Caenorhabditis elegans: one gene and its partners. The protein of the gene in region 2 interacts with the protein of the main gene of each other region in a pairwise test. Each region holds a gene or a part of one and is shown on either strand. Other genes may lie near its edges.

What was found.
Region 1: the proteins of daf-3 (region 2) and eef-2 interact in a two-hybrid assay, tested with the Caenorhabditis elegans proteins (one study listed by BioGRID).
Region 3: the proteins of daf-3 (region 2) and lap-1 interact in a two-hybrid assay, tested with the Caenorhabditis elegans proteins (one study listed by BioGRID).

What each region holds. Positions count from the first base shown.
Region 1 is NC_003279.8:9,161,661-9,165,415, forward strand, and holds the start of eef-2 (Elongation factor 2), read left to right. Parts: upstream 1-1,916; 5' UTR 1,917-1,993; coding exon 1,994-1,996; intron 1,997-2,288; coding exon 2,289-2,503; intron 2,504-2,549; coding exon 2,550-2,904; intron 2,905-2,952; coding exon 2,953-3,129; intron 3,130-3,175; coding exon 3,176-3,755. Other genes in the region: clsp-1 (Claspin), read right to left, coding at 403-585, 691-1,003, 1,047-1,109, 1,155-1,461, 1,506-1,601. UniProt on the Caenorhabditis elegans protein: Catalyzes the GTP-dependent ribosomal translocation step during translation elongation.
Region 2 is NC_003284.9:823,685-827,439, reverse strand, and holds the start of daf-3 (Smad protein daf-3), read left to right. Parts: upstream 1-2,013; coding exon 2,014-2,038; intron 2,039-2,177; coding exon 2,178-2,366; intron 2,367-3,270; coding exon 3,271-3,372; intron 3,373-3,593; exon of another isoform or gene 3,594-3,598; coding exon of another isoform or gene 3,599-3,626; coding exon 3,627-3,755. UniProt on the Caenorhabditis elegans protein: Transcriptional regulator and common SMAD (co-SMAD), required to regulate entry into a developmentally arrested larval state known as dauer, in response to harsh environmental conditions.
Region 3 is NC_003281.10:8,400,249-8,404,003, reverse strand, and holds the start of lap-1 (Leucine aminopeptidase 1), read left to right. Parts: upstream 1-2,075; 5' UTR 2,076-2,094; coding exon 2,095-2,236; intron 2,237-2,887; coding exon 2,888-3,207; intron 3,208-3,554; coding exon 3,555-3,755. Other genes in the region: ubxn-4 (UBX domain-containing protein 4), read left to right, coding at 1-44, 91-180; cutc-1 (Copper homeostasis protein cutC homolog), read left to right, coding at 397-713, 1,046-1,481. UniProt on the Caenorhabditis elegans protein: Probably acts as a digestive enzyme.

The DNA of each region.
Region 1 (3,755 bases), on a different chromosome or scaffold from region 2:
CTCATTTAATATAATTAAATCGTTTGGAACACAGAACAATGTTTTCGAAAGTGAATAAGCGATCGTGGACGATTTTTTCTTGTATTTTTTTTTTAAGATTTGCAGAAAAAACCACAAATTAGAAAGTCAAAAAAAAACAACCGAAATTTCATTTCTTCACAGTTGAGCTGTAAGCGCGCTCTATCGATAATCAAGATTTGATAAAGGAACGAGATCCAAAAAACCTCTCTAAATTTATGAGAAAGAATTATCAAGTTCTCTATTTAAAAGATTTACAACAAATTATCTTTTGTTTAATGATTTGATAAACTTTTTCTTTGAGAATGCGAATAGTTTCAAGGAAAAGAAAAAGGGCTCCAATTTCAGATTTTCCGGAATGAGATTAAGTTTTCTAAAACATACATTTTTCTTTCAGTCGTGTCTTCTTCTATCAACATTTGCAAAGTGTCTGGAAAACCAGCAGACTGTGAAACTCCAAAACTTCCAGGGCACAAATTGAGAATATCGTTGGATCCGCCAGTAATTTCCGTCATTGTCGGCAGTTGAACTACTCCATTTTTTTCAACAACATCTGCTTCGGAACGCCTAAATTTTATTTATAAAAACTCTATCAATCAGAGATTTCTTTGAAAGATCTGACACATATGTTACACAAAAACCGCAGAAAATAAATTTAGATGAAACACTAACGAGTCGAAATTTGAAACAGTTGATCCAGGTCCTGATCTCTTCACATTATTGAAAACATCGTAAGTAAACGAGTCATTCAACAAGTTCACACTCATTTCATCGTCGGCTCGGCCATTATTCTTCTCATCTGAATCTTCTTCTCCGCTATTTTCAGGTTCATAGTCTTCATCATCTTCGCTTTTATATTCTTCTTCATTCACAGGTTTCTTTCCCTTCTTTTTTTTAAAAACGACATCTTCTTCCTCTTCTTCATCACTGCCAGCCTTCAGATGTTCATTATCCTCTTCATACATTTTCCGACGTTGCTCTTGTTCTGAAAACTCAAAAATTGTAAAAATTTAACACGAAGCCGATACCTTTCCGTCGCTTCGCTGACATCGAAGCTTGAAGCTTCTTTTTTAAAGTCTCGCTGGTCAGAACTGGAAAAAGTAAGTTAAATCAGAATTATTACGAACGAAACTAACGGCTCTTGGGTGCGTTCTTCGATATTTTTCGAGGAACGGCGAATAATTTAGCTTCTTCCGGACTTTTTGCCAATTTCGGAATTTTTTCAGCATTAAACGTCTTTTTGAACCATTTGTTACTTGGGTCATCATCTTCATTTGTCAGGTCAATCGTACTATTGGCAGATAATAGGACTCTCCCAAGCTTCGGAACAGGAAGAGGACTTCGTTCTAAAGCCAGTGCTTTACGACGATTAAGACGACGAAGTTTTCGGTCTTCTTCAGCTTGCTTATCGACTTCCGTGTTTTCACTAGATATCAGCTGCTCCTGAAATATGTATTTCGATCCAGTTTCGGTCTTAAAACCATTACCTGGGAATCGGACATGGTGTGTTCGGCAACTAGAGAAGATGGAGAATCTGTATCGTCTGCTGACACGGTTTTTGTTGAACAGGAATCAGAATTCATCTGGAAATTAAACTAAAACAATATTAAAAAGAAGTTTGGAAAATTTCAGTCTATAGAGCGTGATTTTCTTCGGTCAGTTATAAAGTACAACATTATGATAAATGTAATGGCCCTTTTTTGACTTTATTAAGAAAAAGTTAAACAGATTTGACAATTTTTTGTAGAAAAATAAGGAAAAAATGGCATTAAGATTCAAAAGTAGGCGCGAAAATGAATTGGTTGGCAGAGCGCCAAGTGTTTGAATTGGCGCTCTACCGTACTTTGCCTGCACATCTAACAGATCTTGCTGGAGGAGTTGACAACGCAAATTTCTTTACTCTTGTCACGCCGCTATCCTCTGTGCGGTCCTTTTTTGTTGTTGTATCTGAAGAGAACCCTACAAAAAACTAAAAATGGTGAGTATTTATCCCTCTAATTATTGTAACTGTACGTTCTGATGAATTGTCGTCTATTATTTTCGAAAAAAATTTAGGACAAAAACGTAAAGTTTCAAAATAATTAAATGAAATTAGCAAATTTTGGGCCTACTGAGATTTCGTTCCCGGATATGTTAATTAAATTAAATTTCAACTGAGAACCATTCAGTATTATCAAAATCTGAATTAAATTATGGATTTTCAGAAAAAATTTCGTTAGGTAAAATTTCATAATTTTTATCGATTGAAATAATTATTTTTTCCTCTTCAGGTCAACTTCACGGTCGATGAGATCCGTGCGCTTATGGATCGCAAGCGTAACATTCGTAACATGTCTGTTATTGCTCACGTCGATCACGGAAAATCTACCCTTACCGATTCACTCGTTTCCAAAGCCGGTATTATTGCCGGATCCAAGGCTGGAGAGACTCGTTTCACTGACACTCGTAAGGATGAGCAGGAGCGTTGTATTACCATCAAATCTACGTAAGTTCATTTTTAGGATTTCAGCTTAAATATAATATTGTTTTAGTGCTATCTCTCTTTTCTTCGAGCTCGAGAAGAAGGATTTGGAGTTCGTCAAGGGAGAAAACCAATTCGAGACGGTTGAGGTTGATGGAAAGAAAGAGAAATACAACGGTTTCTTGATCAATTTGATCGATTCACCCGGTCACGTTGACTTCTCGTCTGAAGTTACTGCTGCTCTTCGTGTTACTGATGGAGCTCTCGTCGTCGTCGATTGTGTTTCCGGAGTGTGTGTCCAAACCGAGACTGTGCTGCGTCAGGCTATTGCTGAGCGTATCAAGCCAGTTCTTTTCATGAACAAGATGGACCGTGCCCTTCTCGAACTTCAACTCGGAGCCGAGGAACTTTTCCAAACCTTCCAAGTAAGCTTTGTGTTTCAACTGTAACATTGTTATATATTTGTCGTTTAGCGTATCGTTGAAAACATCAACGTCATCATTGCCACTTACGGAGACGACGATGGACCGATGGGACCAATCATGGTTGATCCATCTATCGGAAACGTCGGATTCGGATCTGGACTCCACGGATGGGCCTTCACCCTCAAGCAGTTCGCTGAGATGTACGCCGGAAAGTTCGGAGTTCAAGTAAATTGATTGTTGTATGTTAAAATTATATAAAATATTTTTACAGGTTGACAAGCTCATGAAGAACCTCTGGGGAGATCGTTTCTTCGATCTCAAGACCAAGAAGTGGAGCAGTACTCAGACCGATGAGAGCAAGCGTGGATTCTGCCAATTCGTTCTTGACCCAATCTTCATGGTCTTCGACGCCGTCATGAACATCAAGAAGGACAAGACCGCTGCTCTTGTTGAGAAGCTCGGAATCAAGCTCGCCAACGACGAGAAGGATTTGGAAGGAAAACCACTCATGAAGGTCTTCATGCGCAAGTGGCTTCCAGCCGGAGACACTATGCTCCAGATGATCGCTTTCCATCTTCCATCCCCAGTGACTGCTCAAAAATACAGAATGGAGATGCTCTACGAAGGACCACACGACGACGAGGCCGCCGTTGCTATCAAGACCTGTGATCCAAATGGACCACTCATGATGTACATCTCCAAGATGGTGCCAACTTCCGATAAGGGACGTTTCTACGCTTTCGGACGTGTGTTCTCCGGAAAGGTCGCCACTGGAATGAAGGCTCGCATTCAAGGACCAAACTACGTTCCAGGAAAGAAGGAAGATCTCTATGAGAAGACCATTCAGCGTA
Region 2 (3,755 bases):
ATCATATCAGATTTTTGTTATAAATTAATGAATAGTTTTTAAATCCCCATTTCTTAAAGAAAATTTTATGAATGCTCCACATATCTTATATGCCTCTGTAAACATTTTAAAATTCCGTGTTCACAAGTTTAGAGTACAAGAAAAGTGTCTTCAATAAAAATTGAACTTTTTGTTTCTGCTGTGATATCTTTCACGATAAAATCTTTTGAAAAACCATCGCTTTTATAGTACTAGAGGTGTTAATAATTGACGGTTTCAAGGCTAAGATCACGCGATTCTTTAGTTGAATTTGTTTTTTGATTGTTTGGACTGTGAGATTGTAATTTTTTTAATCTTGTAAGTTTTTGTGCAATGAAAAATGCCTTAACGACTTTCATATAAATTTCTCTTATTCCTCTTGTTTAAAATGTCTACCACAAATTTTTAACAGTTATAACTAAATTGGGCAAAATTTGTTATTTCAACTTTACAAAAAAAATTTAACTTTTTTTGAATACTCTCTGTAGACGCGGTTTTTTTTTCAGAATTATGGTGGCCACCTTTTCAATAAAAAAAAATTATCTGAAAAATGCCATGGTCTCTCTGACCTTCGGCCCACATTGTATCTACGGATTTCATTCAAATATTTGCGGTTTTTTTTGACCGCTTGATCAAACTAATGAACTTTCATCAATGCAAACAAAATTTTTTCGCCAAAAGCAAATGACTAGCCAACTTTTTTTTTCTGTTTATGTTCAAATAGTTCAGTGGTTTCTTGTTAATTAATTATGACACAGTTTTGGTCACAAAATTTGAGCGTTTTTTTCGCTGAAACAATTGCACAAATCTAATACAAAACATTCTGATATCACACGCATCAATTTGGCGAGATTTCAAAAAATCAAACTGAGATGAGACCAGTGAAAACAAAAAATATATATGAGTCATCTAGAAAGTGATCTATACATTTTGTAGATCTTTTTTTAAAAATTGTGATGTTTGAGTACTTACAATGTAGGTCTACCACTTATTTTTTCTAGTTAGCTCACTATTTTATGCTTAGCATAGGTCAAACTACCCTTATAAAAAAAAACAATTATTTAGGTAAAAACGCTTGAAGTTCTTTTTTTCCTTTGTTTTGCACGAGAGGTTTTTTGTAAGTTTCTTATCAATCTCTTTTTTCAGTAAAAAAAGATCAAAACATCAAACCGAGGTCATGTGCACTCTCTTGTAGCTCTCTACTTGTTCCCTCATTATCTTATTCCCCCCGTCTTCTCACTTGTTGGTCCAACTACGCTCAACTTATCGATTCTTTGCAGCGAGCACTGCCACCTCAACACACTTTTAGCAATGAAATAGTGTGCTGGGCGAAGAGACGCAGACACACGTACGTAGTTTAAGAGTGAGCGAGATAGAGTGTGCGTAACGAGAAAAAGAGATAGAAGACGAAGAAACAAGTAGTGGTTTGGTTTCGATCTTTTTTTTTTAATTTGGGATATTTTTATTTTTATTTTCGAATTGTCAATTATTATTATTAATAGACTGTCAAAAATTACTTTTAATACCCCGTATTTGAACACGTTCTTTTTTTTATTTCTCTTAAATTGATTCCAAACAAGTTCCTATTAACACAATTCTTTTCAATTTTCTTTTCGAAATCATAATATTTTTTAAAAGTTAAATCTGTGGTTTTTTGGTTTTCCTTTCTGAATATGTTTTTACTGAAAACACCAAAAAATCTTGACAGTAGCTCAAAATATCAAGCTTTACAATTAAAGTTTTTCTCAACTTTTTTTTTCCCCTATAAACACAATCTCCCTTTATTCCCAAAAATACCACGAAACATGATATTTCAAAAAAAAAAGACAAACAGGTTTATACCACAGTTTGTACCTTTTATTGTCCATGCTGGTATTGTATTTCCTACTTCTTTGCCGCCCGGTTTTTCCTTGTTGTTTTAATTTTATTCCAAAACTCAATTTTACAGGTAATCAAATTGTAAAGGAAAAATATTAATAGTCAGAGTACACATAAATGGGTGATCATCATAATTTAACGGGTGAGTTTTTGTTTTATTGAAATTACTTTATTTTCGGAATGTTATTTAAAAAAAAGTTACAGTTTGAATAAAAAAACAGGATCTTCTGTTTCAGTTTTGAAAAAAAAACCAATTCCATAGTCCATATCCCAACTTACAGGCCTTCCCGGTACCTCCATCCCGCCACAGTTCAACTATTCTCAGCCCGGTACCAGCACCGGAGGGCCGCTTTATGGTGGAAAACCTTCTCATGGATTGGAAGATATTCCTGATGTAGAGGAATATGAGAGGAACCTGCTCGGGGCTGGAGCAGGTTTTAATCTGCTCAATGTAGGAAATATGGCTAATGGTGAGTTTAAATAGTAGCTATAGGAGTGAAGTGTTTGGAGTGTCGTGTTGGATATAAAATATCAATTAAAATAGATTCGAATTATTCAGAAAATCGCTTATTTTGGTAGTAGAACAAATGTTGATAAGTTAACAGACATCTTCTTTTTCCAATTAGTCTTGCACCCGAAGTGACTAGTTGGAAAATAGCCTTGCAGTTTCTATTAATTTTGTACATACTAATCTAGTACATTTCTAGAGAAAATTTTAGTATTTTAAGGTGGCAACGAGTAGTGCGGAACTCAAAATTCTCTTACATTCTCTTATATCTACTTACATTGAAAATTAATTTTGCACTCAAAAAATACCAAATAAAAAATAGGGTACTTGTTCCCGCTATTTTTGAAATTAATCAATTTTTCATTAATTTATCTATTTAAATTAAACTTGATATCTATTTTCTTCGTTGGGCTCAGGAATGGTAAATACGAGTTTTATAAGTTTTTATTTTATAAGTTAAAAAATTAATTTCTAAAATAGCGGAAGCATAATACACAAGTACCAAAAATAGTTATACATGCAATTTTGTCCATAGAATACTCTGAAACAACCTTGGTATTAGCTGCAAAACTGCAACATTATCAATTTAAAAAGGTATTTCTAATTGCAAATAAAATCGTAGCATTTCTAACAGTTGCCTAATTCTCGCTTTCTATTTTCAAATTTCAATTTTTTTTAAACTTTCAAGTAATGCAAACTCTGTAAAACACTGAAATCTAGTGAAAACCAAATCAATTTCCCTACGTGATTAGTAGTCGTGGTGTATGGTGGTTTGTGTTGGTTTGATATGCTTATTTTCCTTTTTGTTTTAAAAACCTTCCCCGTTTTGTTGCTTTTTAAATTTTACATTTCAAACTGAAATTCAGAATTTAAACCAATAATCACATTGGACACGAAACCACCTCGTGATGCCAACAAGTCATTGGCATTCAATGGCGGGTTGAAGCTAATCACTCCGAAAACTGAAGGTAAATAACGTCGAACATAGTAGTATAGCTTGAAAATAAAAAAAAACGTTGAATATGATGCATAAATGGTGCAATAGAAGGTTCAAAAGAATTTGTTGCCAACAAAAAATCTAAAATTTCAACACGAACCTCATGATGTTTACCGTCTGGCAGTCACTAACACACGTATTGATAAGCGAATTGTTGCCAAATTTCGTTGCTTATCAAACCTTATTTCTCTCTGACCATGAAGCTAATAGCAACTTCTCTTCTAGTTCCCGACGAGCACACACCGATGATGTCACCAGTGAATACAACTACAAAGATTCTACAACGGAGTGGTATTAAAATGGAAATCCCGCCATATTTGGATCCAGACAGTCAGGATGATGACCCGGAAGATG
Region 3 (3,755 bases), on a different chromosome or scaffold from region 2:
AACCACAAAGACGCGGGATGCCAAGGAGTGCGGAAGTTCGTCGGGTTTGTGTGCATTGTTATTTTCTTTCCATAATGAAATTATTTTCAGCGTGGAAACGTCGCAGGGCTTGAAAATCCGAATGAAGACGATCCTGAAGAGCGAGCCAGTTTCAATGGAAATTCTACTCAGTTCATGTAATAATGTAAATTTCTTGTCGCCTGTGATTCCAACACCAAAAGTTCATCGCCATGGATAATTTATTTTTTGCTCGTTTATAATTCGAATCGAATAAAAGTTTTCATTTATCCCAGATATGTTCAGTTTTCTTGCTGAGTTTTCGGATTTTAAACCATAACTTTATACCTATTCTTTACAATGTTAAAAACATATTTTCTCAAACTCTATTGTGTTAAGATGACAGAAACAGAATCCCAGAAGCAAATAAAACTGGAAATATGCATCGATAATCTGGAATCTGCGGAAAATGCTGTTGCCGGTGGAGCTGATCGATTGGAAGTTTGCTCAGCTTTACAACTCGGAGGGCTCACTCCATCCGTCGGATTTGTGTCTATTCTGAGCTACAAGTATCCCGATATTCCACTTTATTGTATGATTCGCCAACGGGCAGGCGATTTTGTGTATAATGAAGACGAAATGGCAGCGAATATGGAAGACGTTGAATGGCTCAAAAAAGCTGGTGCCACAGGATTCGTTTTTGGAGCATTAACATCGTAAGTCGGAGAGTTTTAAATTGAATGAAACAAATAAATATATTATAATTTTATTTCCAACATGTTTAAATGAAAAAAGAAAAACATATTCTTGTTTCATTTCGAATTTTTCACCATTTTCCGCAAATAAATTCTCAATCAAGTTTATCAATAAAAATTTTACATAACATTTAAATAATTATTTTTAGGCTGACTTAATTTTTGAACAATGCGGAAAGCTTGTTTTTAAAAAACATTTAAAATGCATAGACATGCGGCAAAATTACGAAAGAAGTTTTGTAATTATAACGGTTGATTGCTCTGGATGATCCACAAAAAATTTCAATTTTCAGAGCCGGTTCATTGGATCGTACATCATGTCAATCAATAATTGAAACTGCCCGTCCACATCCTGTCACATTTCATCGAGCAATTGACGTCGCCTATGACTGGAAAACTTGTCTTGAGGACGCTATTGATGTTGGATTCAAAGCTGTTTTGACAAGTGGACAAGAGCCGTCAGCACTCGACGGAGTTTATATCATTCGAGAAATGCAAGAACTTCACAAAGGAAAGATCGATGTTCTCGCAGGTTGTGGTGTGAACAGTTCGAATGTCGCGAATCTTGTCGAATGGACTAAATGTCACTGGTATCATGCTTCAGCTTCTGTTGCCAAGAAAAATGCTCCATTGAATAAGGTGTCAATGGGAAAACAGGACAATCAGCCATCACGTGTCACTTCTTTGGAAGAAGTACGGATGTTGAAAGCGACATTGGCCCCCGTTTAATTATGTTCAATTCTTTTTCATGTCATATTCCAGTCTATATTGCATGCTTCATCATAGTTTCTAACATTTTCATTGTGTTTTGCAATTAGTTGGCTAGAATTTTTCTGTACCGAAAGTTATTTATTAATTTTAGAAGCTCACTAATCAATTAGATATTCGAAGTAGCATGTTTTTTTACTCTACGGGATTGTGAGGGTTATCAATTTATTTATGCCTAGGCAACTTTAATATAGGAGTTGATTTGAACTTAATTAAAATTTTAAATTTCGCTCCTCATTATTTCACAACCTCTCAAATTTTAGACCACGAATGTATGCAAACACGCGCCCTGAAGATTTGTTCCTTCTCTCAATTTCTCATTTTTTTGCTCTACATTTTCTCTCGCCATTTTTTATCATCCTTTTCTCGCATTTATGTTTCTCTGGTCACTCTTTCTCTACCTGCTGGAGGAACTGATAAACGGTTTATTTGAGTAATAATTTTTACACCTTTTTTCTAAAAAGAGTTTGCCTTTTTTAGTCTGAATACTATAGTTTATACTTTCCAACTTTGTTTTTTTTTAATTCAAAAGGTTTTCAAAGTTTCTAATTTCAGTGATTAGTGTCACCTAAAAATGACACAAGTCCTCGTTCGTAACGGGATTCAAGCTGTTGGAGATGGCCTGACTAGCCTAATCATTGTTGGAAAGAAGAGTGTCTTGAAAAATGTGACTTTCGAAGGAAAATTCAAAGAAGTCGCACAAAAGTTTGTTACAGGTTCGGTTTTGGTAGATTACACAAACGCGATGTTTTTTGATTTTTGTCCAAAATTACGGTACATGGTCACTTTCGTTTAAAAAAATTCATATATATCTAGAGATATCTATATACATACTAAATATTAAACATATATTAAATAAAAACACATACATTTTAACAAAGCGCGGAAGAGACTATGGAAACATACCCGTGCGGCATTTGGTTTCGGCATTTGAACAAAATGCACTTTTTCATAAATATGAAAATACGTATATGTATGAAATAGCATACGATGAGAAGCCTGACTCTTAGGCTTGTCACCAGTCAAAAAAATTTCAAAAAAAGTTTACCCCTGCTCGAGATATGCACCCAAATGCCGTATGGCGAATGCCGTATGCCGTATGCCGTATGACGTATTTTCATATTTATGAAAAAGTGCATTTTGTTCAAATGCCGAAACCAAATGCCGCACAGGTATGTATGGAAAATCATGAACCATTCAGAATAAATGAGATTTTGAAATTACAGTACTCTAAAAGACCCACACCTCCCTGTAGTTTACAAAAATGTCTCTTGTCGAGACCTGGTACCGTATGGTTGGTGTAAAGAGAACAACATTTTGCATCTGCAGATGGTTCATACTTTTCCATAATATAAAAATAATTTCAGATGGCGACTCATGGAACTCTATGATTTCTCGAATCCCCGCCTCAGGACGTCATCCTCTTCACTACGAGCTGGCTCATTTGATCACTGTCCCAGATGCCTCTTCACGTGGAAATACCCCCACTAATGCTCATTCGATATATAAGGAGTTAAAACCAATCAACTATCCTGAGGATACAAAGAATGTTCATTTTGTGCTGTTTGCTGAATATCCAGATGTTCTTTCTCACGTTGCGGCTATTGCTCGGACCTTCTGCAAGTTCTCGATGAAAACTTCAGGAATTCGTGAACTGAATGTGAATATCGATGTGGTTTGCGACAAGGTATGTGACAACTATCCTTCATTTTGATATATTGATCTGTATAGTTTTATCATCACTGATAGACAGCAGACACCATGTGCTTGCTTCTATTTGCAAAGTCAGCCTGGAGACTATTCTTTTCTGGAATTGTGTGCTGATAATGTAGAAATACGATAAGAGTTTATTGCGTAGTGTGACGAAATTAAAAAAGAGGAACTAGTAGAATCATTTGATAGCTTCTGCAAAATTCGGCGGTCTTCATGAACTTCCGTTGATAAGAAAGTTATGTGTCCTTCAAGATCTCAATCTCAAAATCCGAATTAATTGTTTTGTTTTAATTGAAAAACAAACATTCAATTTCTTTGCAGCTCACCAACGAGGATGCAGTTTTCCTTACTGATCTCTCAGAATCGGTCCGTGAAACCGCAAGACTCATCGATACTCCAGCCAATATCCTGACTACTGATGCTCTTGTTGATGAAGCAGTCAAAGTTGGAAATGCGACTGGATCAAAAATAACAGTGATCCGTGGGGAAGAACTGTTGAAGGCTGGATTTGGCGGAATCTAT